3 linked regions of the Caenorhabditis elegans genome follow. The protein of the gene in region 1 interacts with the protein of each later gene in a biochemical or structural test. Each region holds a gene or a part of one and is shown in the gene's direction. Other genes may lie near its edges.

Region 1 (5,054 bases):
AAGCCCAACCGAAGAAAAAAGCCACGCCAAGACGGAAGAAAGCAGATGACGTGGAAACTGTAGTAGCTGACGGAACAGCGACGATCCCGAAGCCGAAGAGAAAAAGGCCGCCGAGGAAGAAGCCTGAGCCGAAGCCGAATATCGTTTTTGAAACAACGCCGAATCCTCCGACAGAAAGCTTCGCAGCCAACAACAATTTCCAGCAGTTCCAGTTTCAAAATCAGCCTGGTAGTTGGACCTACAACAATGGATTCGGCAATGGATATGGGTACGGCGGTGGAACCACTGGATACATGGATAATCTTGTTGGCAGAGGGTTTGACACGGTTTCTCAGCAGCCTGGATTTCAGAATCAAGGTACATTTTTTAAAAGGAATTGAGAAAAATGTGCCAAAAAATTTTAAAGGTGGACTACGCTTTGTGGGGAAATTGCTTTAAAATACGCCTATGGTACCACAATGACCGAATATCATGATTAAAAAATTCAAAAATTTTTTCTAAATTTTATATGATTTTTTGAAAATTGGAAAAATCACAGTTTTCCCCTAATTCCTATTTGAATTACCGCCAATTGAATTTGTTCGATGGGGCGCGCTTGCACGTTTTTAAATTTATTTATTTTATTTTTTGTTATTTTCCACCGATTTTTAATGTTTTCGGTGTATTTTTGCTCGAATTTTAGAGAAAAAGTCAAAATAAATGCAAATTTTCGATTAAAAAGTGCGCTTACAGGCGTAAATCAGTGAAATTAATTAATTCAGGTTCGAAATCGTTTAAAAGCGTTACTTTTTCATTTTTACGCCTGTAAGCGTGCTTTTTAATCGAAAATTTGCATTTATGTTGATTTTTTCTCTAAAATTCGAGCAAAAATACACCGAAAACATTAAAAATCGGTGGAAAATAACAAAAAATAAAATAAATAAATTTAAAAACGTGCAAGCGCGCCCCATCGAACAAATTCAATTGGCGGTAATTCAAATAGGAATTAGGGGAAAACTGTGATTTTTTCAATTTTCAAAAAATCATATAAAATTTATAAATTTTTTTTTGAATTTTTTATCATGAAATTCGGTCATTGTGGTACCATAGGCATGTTTTAAAGCAATTTCCCCACTAGCGCTACCCCACCTTTAAAGGAATTGTGAAAATTGTGAAAAAAAAAATCAAAATTTCGAAAAAAAAAGCGCTAATTTTAACTAAAATCTCTAATTTTGGCCACTTTTCCGTGCTGCAGCGTCCGAAAGTGCACTTTTTTTGAATTATTATTCTTATTATTATACATTAAAAACCCCCGTACTCCTCCAATAACGCCAATATTATCGACCATCTGGACGTGACCGCGTGCAACCACGGCCTAGCTGCCGCCACCCCATTCAAACGAGACATTTCGGCGGGAGAGTCCTTTTTTTCGATAATTCGGATTTTTTTGTCTGTTTCAAGTAATTTTCGCCATAAAAATTACCATTTTCTTCTTCGGTGCCATTTCTAATGATTTTCCAGTGCGTTTTGAGTCTGAAAGTTTGAAAATAAGAGTTTTTGCACAAAAATGTGTGAGAAAAGTTCAAGAAAATCGTCGAAAAATTCAATAAATTAATTTTAAAATTTAAAAAAAAATTAATTTTTTTTAAAAATCAATTCTGTGCATACACCGCCACGCAAAAGTGCACACAATTACCTACCGTAGTCAATGCGAAATTAAATGATTTTTATCGATTTTCTTCATTTTCAGGTTACGAATTCACCGGTTTGCCTGCAAATAACTCGAATAATTTCCCATTTTTGTGATTTAATTTTTCAAATATCCTTATCTATGCCCTCAGGTTTATTTTATCTCATTTCCACTCGTGTTTTTTGAATAAAAATTCTTTTTTTTTCTTCTAGATTTCCGTTTATTTCAGAATGTCGAAGACTGTAAGAATTCCGGACATGTTCCTCAAAGCATCCGCTGCCTCTAAACGGTATTTCCCGCTCTGAAAATTCAAAAAAAACCACCGAAATTTCAGAAAATCCGCTTCAAATACTGAAAATATTCCGGAAAAAGTTCCCGCGGGCAATGAAAATCAAGAAGTCAAGAAAATGAAGTTACAAGCACCAGAACCAACTGAAATTCTGCTAAAATCCCTGCTAACCGGTGAATCTTGGTCGAAACTTTTAGAGGAGGAATTCAAAAAAGGCTATATTTCGAAAATCGAGAAATTCTTGAATTCCGAAGTGAACAAGGGCAAGCAAGTGTTCCCACCGCCCACACAAATTTTCACAACATTCAATCTTCTGCCATTCGACGAGATCAGCGTGGTTATCATCGGTCAAGACCCCTATCACGATGATAATCAAGCTCACGGGCTCTCCTTCAGTGTTCAGAAGGGTGTAAAACCGCCGCCATCGCTGAAAAATATCTATAAAGAGCTTGAATCCGATATTGAAGGCTTCAAGCGGCCCGATCACGGGAACCTGCTCGGCTGGACACGTCAGGGAGTGTTCATGTTGAATGCCACGTTGACGGTTCGGGCTCACGAGGCGAATTCTCACGCGAAGATCGGCTGGCAAACTTTCACGGACACTGTTATTCGGATTATTTCGCGACAATCGGAGAAGCCTATTGTCTTTTTGTTATGGGGAGGATTTGCTCATAAGAAGGAAGAACTGATTGATACAAAGAAACATGTAGTTATAAAGGTCATTATTTTTCTGGATAGAATTCTGGAAAAAGCATGGAAAAGTTGATTTTAAGATTTTTTCCCTAAAAATGTGTTGGAAAACGACAAAAATTGCCGATTTTCACCTGTAAAATCGGAAATTTTGCGATTTTGCTGGAAATTTAGGTAAAAATTGCCAGAAAACCTAGAAAAAAATTCAAGATTTTCCCATAAAATGGTAGTAAAATTGTCACTTTTCAGTTAAAAACTAAAAAAAATTCAGGGGTTTGCTCTAAATTTTCCCCTGATTCCGAATATCTATGTGAAAAATTGGAAAAAAACGTCCCTTTTATTGTAGAAAATCGACGATTTTCAAACGCGCGCCAGAGAGCCAGAGACGATTCTCATTGGAACGCACCGTGTTGTGTCGATTTACGAGATTTGTTTTTTTAAAGCCAATTTTTTGCTGTTTCTTCATTTTTTTTTTCGGTTTTTTGAACATTTTATTATTATAAAACTCGCAAAATTTCCTTATTTTTAGATGGAAAATGATTTAAATTCAGAGAAAAAAAACCGAATTTTTTCGATTTTTTCAAAGAAAATCGGAATTTTTCTTCTTTTTTTTTTTAAATAGAAAACCGGAATTTTTCTATTTCTTTCCAGAGAAAATCGGAATTTTTTCGTTTTTTTTAATTTTTTTCAAAGAAAATCGGAATTTTTTCGATTTTTTTTTTGATTTTTTAGAGAAAATCGGAATATTTTCGATTTTTTCAAAGAAAATCGGAATTTTTTCCATTTTTTCATATAGTTTTCCAGAGAAAATCGGAATTTTTTCCATTTTTTAAAAGAGAAAATCGGAATTTTTTTGAAATTTTTAAGGAGAAAATTAGAATTTTTTCGATTTTTTAAAAGAGAAAATTAAAATTTTTTTTTTCTATTTTTTCAGAGAAAAATCGAAAAACAGAAATTGTTTTTTAATCGAAAAAAAAATTCGAGAAAATTTCTATTTAAAAACTCCAATTTTCTCTTTAAAAACTCAAAAAATTCCGATTTTCTCTGAATTTACCTCCTTTTTCATCTAAAAATAGGAAATTTTCGCGGTTTTCTGATCATAAAATGTTCAATTGGCTCGAAAATACACAATTTTCAACGAAAAAAACCGATAAAAATGAATAAAAAGCTGAAAGCTGGCTCGTAAATCGGCACAAGACACAGCGCGCTTCAATGTCTGGCGCGCGTTTGAAAATCGTCGATTTTCTACAATAAAAGGGACTTTTTTTTCCAATTTTTCACATAGATATTTTAAACAAGGAGCAAATTTGGAGCAAAACCTGGAGAATCTTGTTTTTTTTTTTGGTTTTTAACTGAAAATTGACAATTTTACTACAATTTTGTGGGAAATTCTTGAATTTTTTAAAGTTTTTCTGGCAATTTTTGACATTTTCCACCAAAATTTAAATTAATTTCAAAGGGAAAAATTGATTGGTTTCAGACGTGGAAAATCGCAAAATTTTTGATTTTTGTGAAAAAAAAAACCTATTTTTTAGCGTATTTTAAAAATATTTCCACTAAACTCAAATTTAATTTTTTAAAAAATTTTAAAAAATTTCCAGACCGCCCATCCGTCTCCGCTGAGTGCTCGCAAGTGGTGGGGATGCAAATGCTTCTCGAAATGCAACACGGAGCTCGAAAATTCCGGTCGAAACCCGATTAATTGGGCGGATTTATGAATAAATTCTCCTGTCGAACACCCTGCGTCTCTTCATCTCACACACTCTCTCGCCACTCACTGAAGAACTCTGTTATTTATCGATTTTTCTATTTTCTCTTCATTTTTCCTCATTTTTTCCTCATTTTTTCGGTTTTTCATCATAAAAATTCGATTTTCTGGCCATTTTTTTGTTCAATTTCCAATTTTTCATTCGTTTCAACGATTTTTAAATGCTTTTCACGGAAATTGCAGCGAAAAATTGTTTTTTTAACAGAAAAAAAGAATGCGGCGACAAAAAACCGAAGAGGAACGGAGCTGGACTTCAATTTCTCGGCATTTTTTATGCCTTGAATGTAGAAAATATTTCCGGAATAAGGTAGAGAAGATAATATTCTAATTAAATCGCAGAAAATATATTAAAAATTGAAAAAAAAAAACCGATTTTTCCCAAAAAATATATTAAAAAACCGAAAAAATTCCAATTTCTTCTTTAAAAAAATTTAAAAACATTGAAAAATGCTAATTTTTCTTATAAAAAACGAGAAAATTCCGATTTTTCTCTAAAAATATATTAAAAATTGAAATTATTCCGATTTTTCAGTAAAAATATCAAAAAATCAGATTTTTCTCTAAAAATACATTAAAAAATCAGATTTTTCTCTAAAAATACATTAAAAAATCCGTTTTTTTTTTAAATTTATATTAAA
Region 2 (3,963 bases), 1.8 Mb from region 1:
TATTTCAATTGTTTTCAGTGATCAAATATCGGATAAGGCTGAGGAATTGAAACGATCAACTTCAGATGCTGTTCAGGATAACGATAACGATGATTCGATTCCTACAAGTGCTGAATTTCCACCTGGTATTTCGCCAACCGAGAATTGGGTCGGAAAGTTGCAGGAAAAATCTCAAAAAAGCAAGCTGCAAGCCCCAATCTATGAAGATTCCAAGAATGAGAGAACCGAGCGTTTCTTGGTTATATGCACGGTAGAACTGCTAATTAATAACTCGAAAATAATAAAAAATTTCAGATGTGCAATCAAAAAACCAGAGGAATCAGAAGTAAGAAGAAGGACGCAAAGAATCTTGCAGCATGGTTGATGTGGAAAGCGTTGGAAGACGGTATCGAATCTCTGGAATCATATGATATGGGTATGCCTCCAAATAATTGTAGTTAATATTTAATTTTACTGCTTTCAGTTGATGTGATTGAAAATTTGGAAGAAGCTGAACATTTACTCGAAATTCAGGATCAAGCATCCAAGATTAAAGACAAGCATTCCGCACTGATTGATATACTCTCGGACAAGAAAAGATTTTCAGACTACAGCATGGATTTCAACGTATTATCAGTGAGCACAATGGGAATACATCAGGTGCTATTGGAAATCTCGTTCCGGCGTCTAGTTTCTCCAGACCCCGACGATTTGGAAATGGGAGCAGAACACACCCAGACTGAAGAAATTATGAAGGCTACTGCCGAGAAGGAAAAGCTACGGAAGAAGAATATGCCAGATTCCGGGCCGCTAGTGTTTGCTGGACATGGTTCATCGGCGGAAGAGGCTAAACAGTGTGCTTGTAAATCGGCGATTATCCATTTCAACACCTATGATTTCACGGATTGAAAATATTATTGCGTATTCCTGAAAAATGAAGCGTCTGAATGATTATATCCTTTTTAAATATTTTTTTGAATAATGCCATTCAGAGTTGAAACTACTCGAAATTATATTTTTGTCGTTCTTTGTGTTTTCTCTCCCTCCATTACTTTTCCTCGTGTCAATTCTACTGTGATTGTTCTTTGTGTGCCTGCCGCGTGGTAAGATTGTGTGCGAAACGTCACAGTTTTGTGCGTTATGGTTTCTATTTCTATGAAGACAATGTGCTCTCACTCCATCAACGGGCGGCTGTGTTTTATCATTACCTCCATCACTTATAGAAACAGTAAATACCAATGATGTTCTTTGTCCGTTTTCTCCCCAACGTGGTTCCATCAATCATCAATAGAATTCTATAGAAGATGCGTAATCTCTATGCCTCTGACCTCTACAAAACTCTTTTCCACACTCATTCTCTGCAGTGCACGAGAGCGAGATTTAGAGAAGAAAAGAAAAAAGTGTGCGGCCTGCGCGCCGCCCGTCCTCATTTTTGAACGAGTGTGGGTCGCGGTCGCAAATTGTTTCACCTTCACAGCGTAGTTAAAATGTTTCAATAAAATTTATCATCATTTTCAAGTTCTCAAATGATAAATCTCATCTGTTTTTTTTAATTGCGTGACCCGCCACATTGATATGACGATGCAAGTTTTCCAATTTTAAATTTTCGTGATTTCCAGGTTTAATCCGACCAGAAAATGTCGCTCTCTGGAATGGCTATTCGCAGACTTATCACCAAGGGAGTCATCCCTGTGTGTCAAGTCGCTCCACTTTCAACATCTGCTGAAGGATCCACCAATTTGAAGGAGGTTCTTTCCAAGAAGATCCCAGCCCACAACGCTAAAGTGAAGTCATTCCGCACAGAGCACGGTAGCACCGTCGTTCAAAATGTGAACATTGACATGGTAAGCAACTACTAGGAAGTTTAAATTCATAGTCTCTTTTTCAAGATCTACGGAGGCATGAGAAGCATGAAGGGAATGGTCACCGAAACCTCAGTTCTTGACCCAGAGGAGGGAATCAGATTCCGTGGATACTCTATCCCAGAATGCCAAAAGCTTCTTCCAAAAGCAAAGGGAGGAGAAGAGCCGCTTCCAGAAGCCATTTGGTGGCTTTTGTGTACAGGAGATGTTCCATCCGAGGCCCAGACTGCCGCTATCACAAAAGAATGGAACGCCCGTGCCGATCTTCCAACCCACGTTGTCCGAATGCTCGACAACTTCCCAGATAACCTCCATCCAATGGCTCAATTCATCGCCGCTATCGCTGCTTTGAACAATGAAAGCAAATTCGCCGGAGCTTATGCTCGTGGAGTCGCCAAGGCCTCCTACTGGGAGTACGCTTATGAGGTAAACATCAAAAAACAACAGCTGTCTCTTTGAACGGATGACTGACATAAACAGTTTTCAGGACTCAATGGATCTTCTCGCTAAATTGCCAACTGTTGCCGCTATCATCTATCGCAACCTGTACCGTGATGGATCTGCAGTCAGTGTCATCGATCCAAAGAAAGATTGGTCCGCCAACTTCTCTTCTATGCTTGGATATGATGATCCACTTTTCGCTGAGCTTATGAGACTCTACCTTGTTATTCACTCTGATCACGAAGGAGGAAATGTATCCGCTCACACTTCCCATCTTGTAGGATCTGCTCTTTCTGATCCATACCTTTCCTTCTCCGCCGCCATGGCTGGACTTGCTGGACCACTCCACGGATTGGCTAACCAAGAGGTACTAAACTTTAATTTATTCTTATTTTATTAAAAACAATTTTTTCCAGGTTCTCGTTTTCTTGAACAAGATTGTTGGAGAAATCGGTTTTAACTACACCGAGGAACAACTTAAGGAATGGGTATGGAAGCACTTGAAGAGCGGCCAAGTTGTACCAGGATATGGACATGCCGTACTTAGAAAAACCGATCCAAGATACGAGTGCCAACGTGAATTCGCCCTTAAACATTTGCCAAACGATGATCTTTTCAAGCTGGTCTCGACTCTTTACAAGATCACTCCAGGAATTCTTCTCGAACAAGGAAAAGCCAAGAACCCATGGCCAAACGTGGACTCCCACTCCGGTGTCCTTCTTCAATACTTTGGAATGACCGAGATGTCCTTCTACACTGTTCTTTTCGGAGTTTCTAGAGCTCTCGGATGTCTCTCGCAATTGATCTGGGCCAGAGGTATGGGACTTCCACTCGAACGTCCAAAGTCACACTCCACCGATGGACTTATCAAGCTTGCTCTCGCCGCCAAGAAATAAGTTCCCACACCTTGATCTTTTTTGTTGTAAAGTGTAATAAATTGATTGTTTCCCCCTTTTCCATACCATACATTTTCCCCACCAATCTTCAGTATCGATTGTTTCTAGGTTAGTAGTCTCAGGATAAGAGAATTAGAATCATTATGTTTCAGCTTATGAAGCTGATTTGTTCCCCTCCGTACCGAGATTCTCTTCAAAGCGTTCTGAGCTCTGATTGAAAATAAATCGAGTCTTCAAATTTCTTTATTGAATTAATTACAATTAATTTTACAGTACTACAAATCGGATAGCATCCAAAAGAGAACATGTCTATTTTTTCTTATCAATTTTATCAATGGGTTCAATCGGTGTATTTGTTGGCGAGCCAGGCGTCAGAGTTTCCATTCTGAAGCTTCCGGGACTTCTCTGCCGCTCCAAACTGCGTGACGAGGAAGCGTGTTTCATTAGGTTGAGAAGTGAAGATGGTCGAAGAATATCACCGATTCCACTTCCTCTAGATTCATTCGTGTTTAGAAAAAGTTTAATCCTATATTATTATCTTAAAGGCGCATGGTATTATTCAGATGGTCTCAGCGCGCAAAAAAGTTTATGGTAGTCTTTATTTATTTTCCTCGCATTTTACAATTAAATTACTTTGTTTTTAGCGATTTTTGTTTTATTCTTATTATTTTTCTAAAAAGAAAACAAAAAGATTATATTTTTTAGAAATAACCTGACTTGCGCGCCAAGACCCATCTGAAAAGAACTATGCGCCTTTAAGAAGAAATGCCAGAATCTTGTGAAAT
Region 3 (5,710 bases), on another chromosome or scaffold:
AAGCGGGGCTTGTCTGACGACACGGACGTCGAGTTTTGTGGCAGATTTCTTTAAAAAGATCTCATTTAATATAATTAAATCGTTTGGAACACAGAACAATGTTTTCGAAAGTGAATAAGCGATCGTGGACGATTTTTTCTTGTATTTTTTTTTTAAGATTTGCAGAAAAAACCACAAATTAGAAAGTCAAAAAAAAACAACCGAAATTTCATTTCTTCACAGTTGAGCTGTAAGCGCGCTCTATCGATAATCAAGATTTGATAAAGGAACGAGATCCAAAAAACCTCTCTAAATTTATGAGAAAGAATTATCAAGTTCTCTATTTAAAAGATTTACAACAAATTATCTTTTGTTTAATGATTTGATAAACTTTTTCTTTGAGAATGCGAATAGTTTCAAGGAAAAGAAAAAGGGCTCCAATTTCAGATTTTCCGGAATGAGATTAAGTTTTCTAAAACATACATTTTTCTTTCAGTCGTGTCTTCTTCTATCAACATTTGCAAAGTGTCTGGAAAACCAGCAGACTGTGAAACTCCAAAACTTCCAGGGCACAAATTGAGAATATCGTTGGATCCGCCAGTAATTTCCGTCATTGTCGGCAGTTGAACTACTCCATTTTTTTCAACAACATCTGCTTCGGAACGCCTAAATTTTATTTATAAAAACTCTATCAATCAGAGATTTCTTTGAAAGATCTGACACATATGTTACACAAAAACCGCAGAAAATAAATTTAGATGAAACACTAACGAGTCGAAATTTGAAACAGTTGATCCAGGTCCTGATCTCTTCACATTATTGAAAACATCGTAAGTAAACGAGTCATTCAACAAGTTCACACTCATTTCATCGTCGGCTCGGCCATTATTCTTCTCATCTGAATCTTCTTCTCCGCTATTTTCAGGTTCATAGTCTTCATCATCTTCGCTTTTATATTCTTCTTCATTCACAGGTTTCTTTCCCTTCTTTTTTTTAAAAACGACATCTTCTTCCTCTTCTTCATCACTGCCAGCCTTCAGATGTTCATTATCCTCTTCATACATTTTCCGACGTTGCTCTTGTTCTGAAAACTCAAAAATTGTAAAAATTTAACACGAAGCCGATACCTTTCCGTCGCTTCGCTGACATCGAAGCTTGAAGCTTCTTTTTTAAAGTCTCGCTGGTCAGAACTGGAAAAAGTAAGTTAAATCAGAATTATTACGAACGAAACTAACGGCTCTTGGGTGCGTTCTTCGATATTTTTCGAGGAACGGCGAATAATTTAGCTTCTTCCGGACTTTTTGCCAATTTCGGAATTTTTTCAGCATTAAACGTCTTTTTGAACCATTTGTTACTTGGGTCATCATCTTCATTTGTCAGGTCAATCGTACTATTGGCAGATAATAGGACTCTCCCAAGCTTCGGAACAGGAAGAGGACTTCGTTCTAAAGCCAGTGCTTTACGACGATTAAGACGACGAAGTTTTCGGTCTTCTTCAGCTTGCTTATCGACTTCCGTGTTTTCACTAGATATCAGCTGCTCCTGAAATATGTATTTCGATCCAGTTTCGGTCTTAAAACCATTACCTGGGAATCGGACATGGTGTGTTCGGCAACTAGAGAAGATGGAGAATCTGTATCGTCTGCTGACACGGTTTTTGTTGAACAGGAATCAGAATTCATCTGGAAATTAAACTAAAACAATATTAAAAAGAAGTTTGGAAAATTTCAGTCTATAGAGCGTGATTTTCTTCGGTCAGTTATAAAGTACAACATTATGATAAATGTAATGGCCCTTTTTTGACTTTATTAAGAAAAAGTTAAACAGATTTGACAATTTTTTGTAGAAAAATAAGGAAAAAATGGCATTAAGATTCAAAAGTAGGCGCGAAAATGAATTGGTTGGCAGAGCGCCAAGTGTTTGAATTGGCGCTCTACCGTACTTTGCCTGCACATCTAACAGATCTTGCTGGAGGAGTTGACAACGCAAATTTCTTTACTCTTGTCACGCCGCTATCCTCTGTGCGGTCCTTTTTTGTTGTTGTATCTGAAGAGAACCCTACAAAAAACTAAAAATGGTGAGTATTTATCCCTCTAATTATTGTAACTGTACGTTCTGATGAATTGTCGTCTATTATTTTCGAAAAAAATTTAGGACAAAAACGTAAAGTTTCAAAATAATTAAATGAAATTAGCAAATTTTGGGCCTACTGAGATTTCGTTCCCGGATATGTTAATTAAATTAAATTTCAACTGAGAACCATTCAGTATTATCAAAATCTGAATTAAATTATGGATTTTCAGAAAAAATTTCGTTAGGTAAAATTTCATAATTTTTATCGATTGAAATAATTATTTTTTCCTCTTCAGGTCAACTTCACGGTCGATGAGATCCGTGCGCTTATGGATCGCAAGCGTAACATTCGTAACATGTCTGTTATTGCTCACGTCGATCACGGAAAATCTACCCTTACCGATTCACTCGTTTCCAAAGCCGGTATTATTGCCGGATCCAAGGCTGGAGAGACTCGTTTCACTGACACTCGTAAGGATGAGCAGGAGCGTTGTATTACCATCAAATCTACGTAAGTTCATTTTTAGGATTTCAGCTTAAATATAATATTGTTTTAGTGCTATCTCTCTTTTCTTCGAGCTCGAGAAGAAGGATTTGGAGTTCGTCAAGGGAGAAAACCAATTCGAGACGGTTGAGGTTGATGGAAAGAAAGAGAAATACAACGGTTTCTTGATCAATTTGATCGATTCACCCGGTCACGTTGACTTCTCGTCTGAAGTTACTGCTGCTCTTCGTGTTACTGATGGAGCTCTCGTCGTCGTCGATTGTGTTTCCGGAGTGTGTGTCCAAACCGAGACTGTGCTGCGTCAGGCTATTGCTGAGCGTATCAAGCCAGTTCTTTTCATGAACAAGATGGACCGTGCCCTTCTCGAACTTCAACTCGGAGCCGAGGAACTTTTCCAAACCTTCCAAGTAAGCTTTGTGTTTCAACTGTAACATTGTTATATATTTGTCGTTTAGCGTATCGTTGAAAACATCAACGTCATCATTGCCACTTACGGAGACGACGATGGACCGATGGGACCAATCATGGTTGATCCATCTATCGGAAACGTCGGATTCGGATCTGGACTCCACGGATGGGCCTTCACCCTCAAGCAGTTCGCTGAGATGTACGCCGGAAAGTTCGGAGTTCAAGTAAATTGATTGTTGTATGTTAAAATTATATAAAATATTTTTACAGGTTGACAAGCTCATGAAGAACCTCTGGGGAGATCGTTTCTTCGATCTCAAGACCAAGAAGTGGAGCAGTACTCAGACCGATGAGAGCAAGCGTGGATTCTGCCAATTCGTTCTTGACCCAATCTTCATGGTCTTCGACGCCGTCATGAACATCAAGAAGGACAAGACCGCTGCTCTTGTTGAGAAGCTCGGAATCAAGCTCGCCAACGACGAGAAGGATTTGGAAGGAAAACCACTCATGAAGGTCTTCATGCGCAAGTGGCTTCCAGCCGGAGACACTATGCTCCAGATGATCGCTTTCCATCTTCCATCCCCAGTGACTGCTCAAAAATACAGAATGGAGATGCTCTACGAAGGACCACACGACGACGAGGCCGCCGTTGCTATCAAGACCTGTGATCCAAATGGACCACTCATGATGTACATCTCCAAGATGGTGCCAACTTCCGATAAGGGACGTTTCTACGCTTTCGGACGTGTGTTCTCCGGAAAGGTCGCCACTGGAATGAAGGCTCGCATTCAAGGACCAAACTACGTTCCAGGAAAGAAGGAAGATCTCTATGAGAAGACCATTCAGCGTACCATTCTTATGATGGGACGTTTCATCGAGCCAATTGAGGATATTCCATCCGGAAACATCGCTGGACTTGTTGGAGTCGATCAATACCTCGTCAAGGGAGGAACCATCACCACTTACAAGGATGCCCACAACATGCGTGTCATGAAGTTCTCCGTATCTCCAGTCGTCCGTGTTGCCGTCGAAGCTAAGAACCCAGCTGATCTTCCAAAGCTCGTCGAAGGACTCAAACGTCTTGCCAAGTCCGATCCTATGGTCCAATGTATCTTCGAAGAATCCGGAGAACACATCATCGCCGGAGCTGGAGAGCTTCACTTGGAAATCTGTCTGAAGGATTTGGAGGAGGACCACGCTTGCATTCCACTCAAGAAGTCTGACCCGGTCGTCTCTTACCGTGAAACTGTTCAATCCGAGTCTAACCAGATCTGCTTGTCCAAATCTCCAAATAAGCACAATCGTCTTCACTGTACCGCTCAGCCAATGCCAGATGGTCTCGCCGATGATATCGAAGGAGGAACCGTCAACGCTCGTGATGAGTTCAAGGCTCGTGCCAAGATCCTCGCCGAGAAGTACGAATACGACGTCACTGAAGCCCGTAAGATCTGGTGCTTCGGACCAGACGGAACTGGACCAAATCTCTTGATGGACGTCACCAAAGGAGTGCAATACCTCAATGAAATCAAGGACTCCGTTGTCGCTGGATTCCAATGGGCCACTCGCGAAGGAGTTCTTTCCGACGAAAACATGCGCGGAGTTCGCTTCAACGTTCACGATGTCACCCTCCACGCTGACGCTATCCACAGAGGAGGTGGTCAAATCATCCCAACTGCCCGTCGTGTGTTCTACGCTTCGGTTCTTACCGCCGAGCCACGTCTTCTCGAGCCAGTCTACTTGGTCGAAATTCAATGCCCAGAAGCCGCCGTTGGAGGTATGTTGCATATTTTCAAAACTTATACGTTTTTATATTACTTATTTATTTTAGGTATCTACGGAGTGTTGAACAGAAGAAGAGGACACGTTTTCGAGGAGTCTCAGGTCACAGGAACTCCAATGTTCGTCGTCAAGGCTTACTTGCCTGTCAACGAGTCCTTCGGATTCACCGCCGATCTCCGCTCCAACACCGGAGGACAAGCCTTCCCACAATGCGTGTTCGACCATTGGCAGGTGCTTCCAGGAGACCCGCTTGAGGCCGGAACCAAGCCAAACCAGATCGTTTTGGACACCAGAAAGAGAAAGGGGCTCAAGGAAGGTGTCCCAGCCCTTGACAACTATCTCGACAAGATGTAATTCTGTCAAGATTGTTTATTGTTAATTTTTCTATTATAATAAACACGGTTGTTTGTTACTTTTTCTCATCATTTTTGTGCTAATCCACCTCTGGAATAAATCGTAAAAATTTATTTGGTACGTTGAAATATATTTGAATGTTTAGCAATCTTGTACCCTCTTCGTATTTGTCGCAGCTAAATAGTATATTTAACTGGATCTTGTAAATATTTATATATTACCGCCCTAAAACGATGGCTTCATAAACACAAAAAGTTTAAAAATGGATCCCTAGGATTGGAAACTCGGTCTTGTAGGTTTGAAGTGTGCATGGAAGCCATTGTTCTGACGCGAGTGCAATCTTGGCCATTGAATTTGTTTCGGCCTGAACATTTTTCTTTGCGCTGCAACATTTTCACATGAAATTCACGTGCTCTTGTAAGACTATTGACCTAAAATCATGGCGCGCGGGCGGTTAAAATACCATTTTCTATCACTTGTCACCGTTGCCGCCAACAATTTTCGGCTCATTTTCACTCAGTTTTATTTCACTGCGAACTATCAAAACGGACCCATTTCTCTGATTTCTCTCCTGCTTCGTTCTGCACTCCTCCCATGAAAGTTTTTCTTCTT

The links. The genes of interacting proteins can lie anywhere in the genome.
Region 2: the proteins of ung-1 (region 1) and cts-1 form a complex in vitro, tested with the Caenorhabditis elegans proteins (one large-scale study listed by BioGRID).
Region 3: the proteins of ung-1 (region 1) and eef-2 form a complex in vitro, tested with the Caenorhabditis elegans proteins (one large-scale study listed by BioGRID).

The regions. Positions count from the first base shown.
Region 1 is NC_003281.10:11,970,935-11,975,988, reverse strand, and holds ung-1 (Uracil-DNA glycosylase), read left to right. Parts: upstream 1-1,898; 5' UTR 1,899-1,899; coding exon 1,900-1,958; intron 1,959-2,003; coding exon 2,004-2,676; intron 2,677-4,249; coding exon 4,250-4,366; 3' UTR 4,367-4,522; downstream 4,523-5,054. Other genes in the region: Y56A3A.31 (SOSS complex subunit A homolog), read right to left, coding at 1,463-1,483; Y56A3A.30 (SP-RING-type domain-containing protein), read left to right, coding at 1-357, 1,730-1,785; Y56A3A.28 (C2H2-type domain-containing protein), read left to right, coding at 4,631-4,723. UniProt on the Caenorhabditis elegans protein: Excises uracil residues from the DNA which can arise as a result of misincorporation of dUMP residues by DNA polymerase or due to deamination of cytosine.
Region 2 is NC_003281.10:10,214,271-10,218,233, reverse strand, and holds cts-1 (putative citrate synthase, mitochondrial), read left to right. Parts: upstream 1-1,598; 5' UTR 1,599-1,616; coding exon 1,617-1,823; intron 1,824-1,868; coding exon 1,869-2,267; intron 2,268-2,328; coding exon 2,329-2,649; intron 2,650-2,698; coding exon 2,699-3,178; 3' UTR 3,179-3,463; downstream 3,464-3,963. Other genes in the region: rde-4 (DRBM domain-containing protein), read left to right, coding at 19-250, 295-415, 464-888; best-18 (Bestrophin homolog 18), read right to left, coding at 3,488-3,671.
Region 3 is NC_003279.8:9,161,601-9,167,310, forward strand, and holds eef-2 (Elongation factor 2), read left to right. Parts: upstream 1-1,976; 5' UTR 1,977-2,053; coding exon 2,054-2,056; intron 2,057-2,348; coding exon 2,349-2,563; intron 2,564-2,609; coding exon 2,610-2,964; intron 2,965-3,012; coding exon 3,013-3,189; intron 3,190-3,235; coding exon 3,236-4,739; intron 4,740-4,793; coding exon 4,794-5,098; 3' UTR 5,099-5,210; downstream 5,211-5,710. Other genes in the region: clsp-1 (Claspin), read right to left, coding at 1-48, 463-645, 751-1,063, 1,107-1,169, 1,215-1,521, 1,566-1,661. UniProt on the Caenorhabditis elegans protein: Catalyzes the GTP-dependent ribosomal translocation step during translation elongation.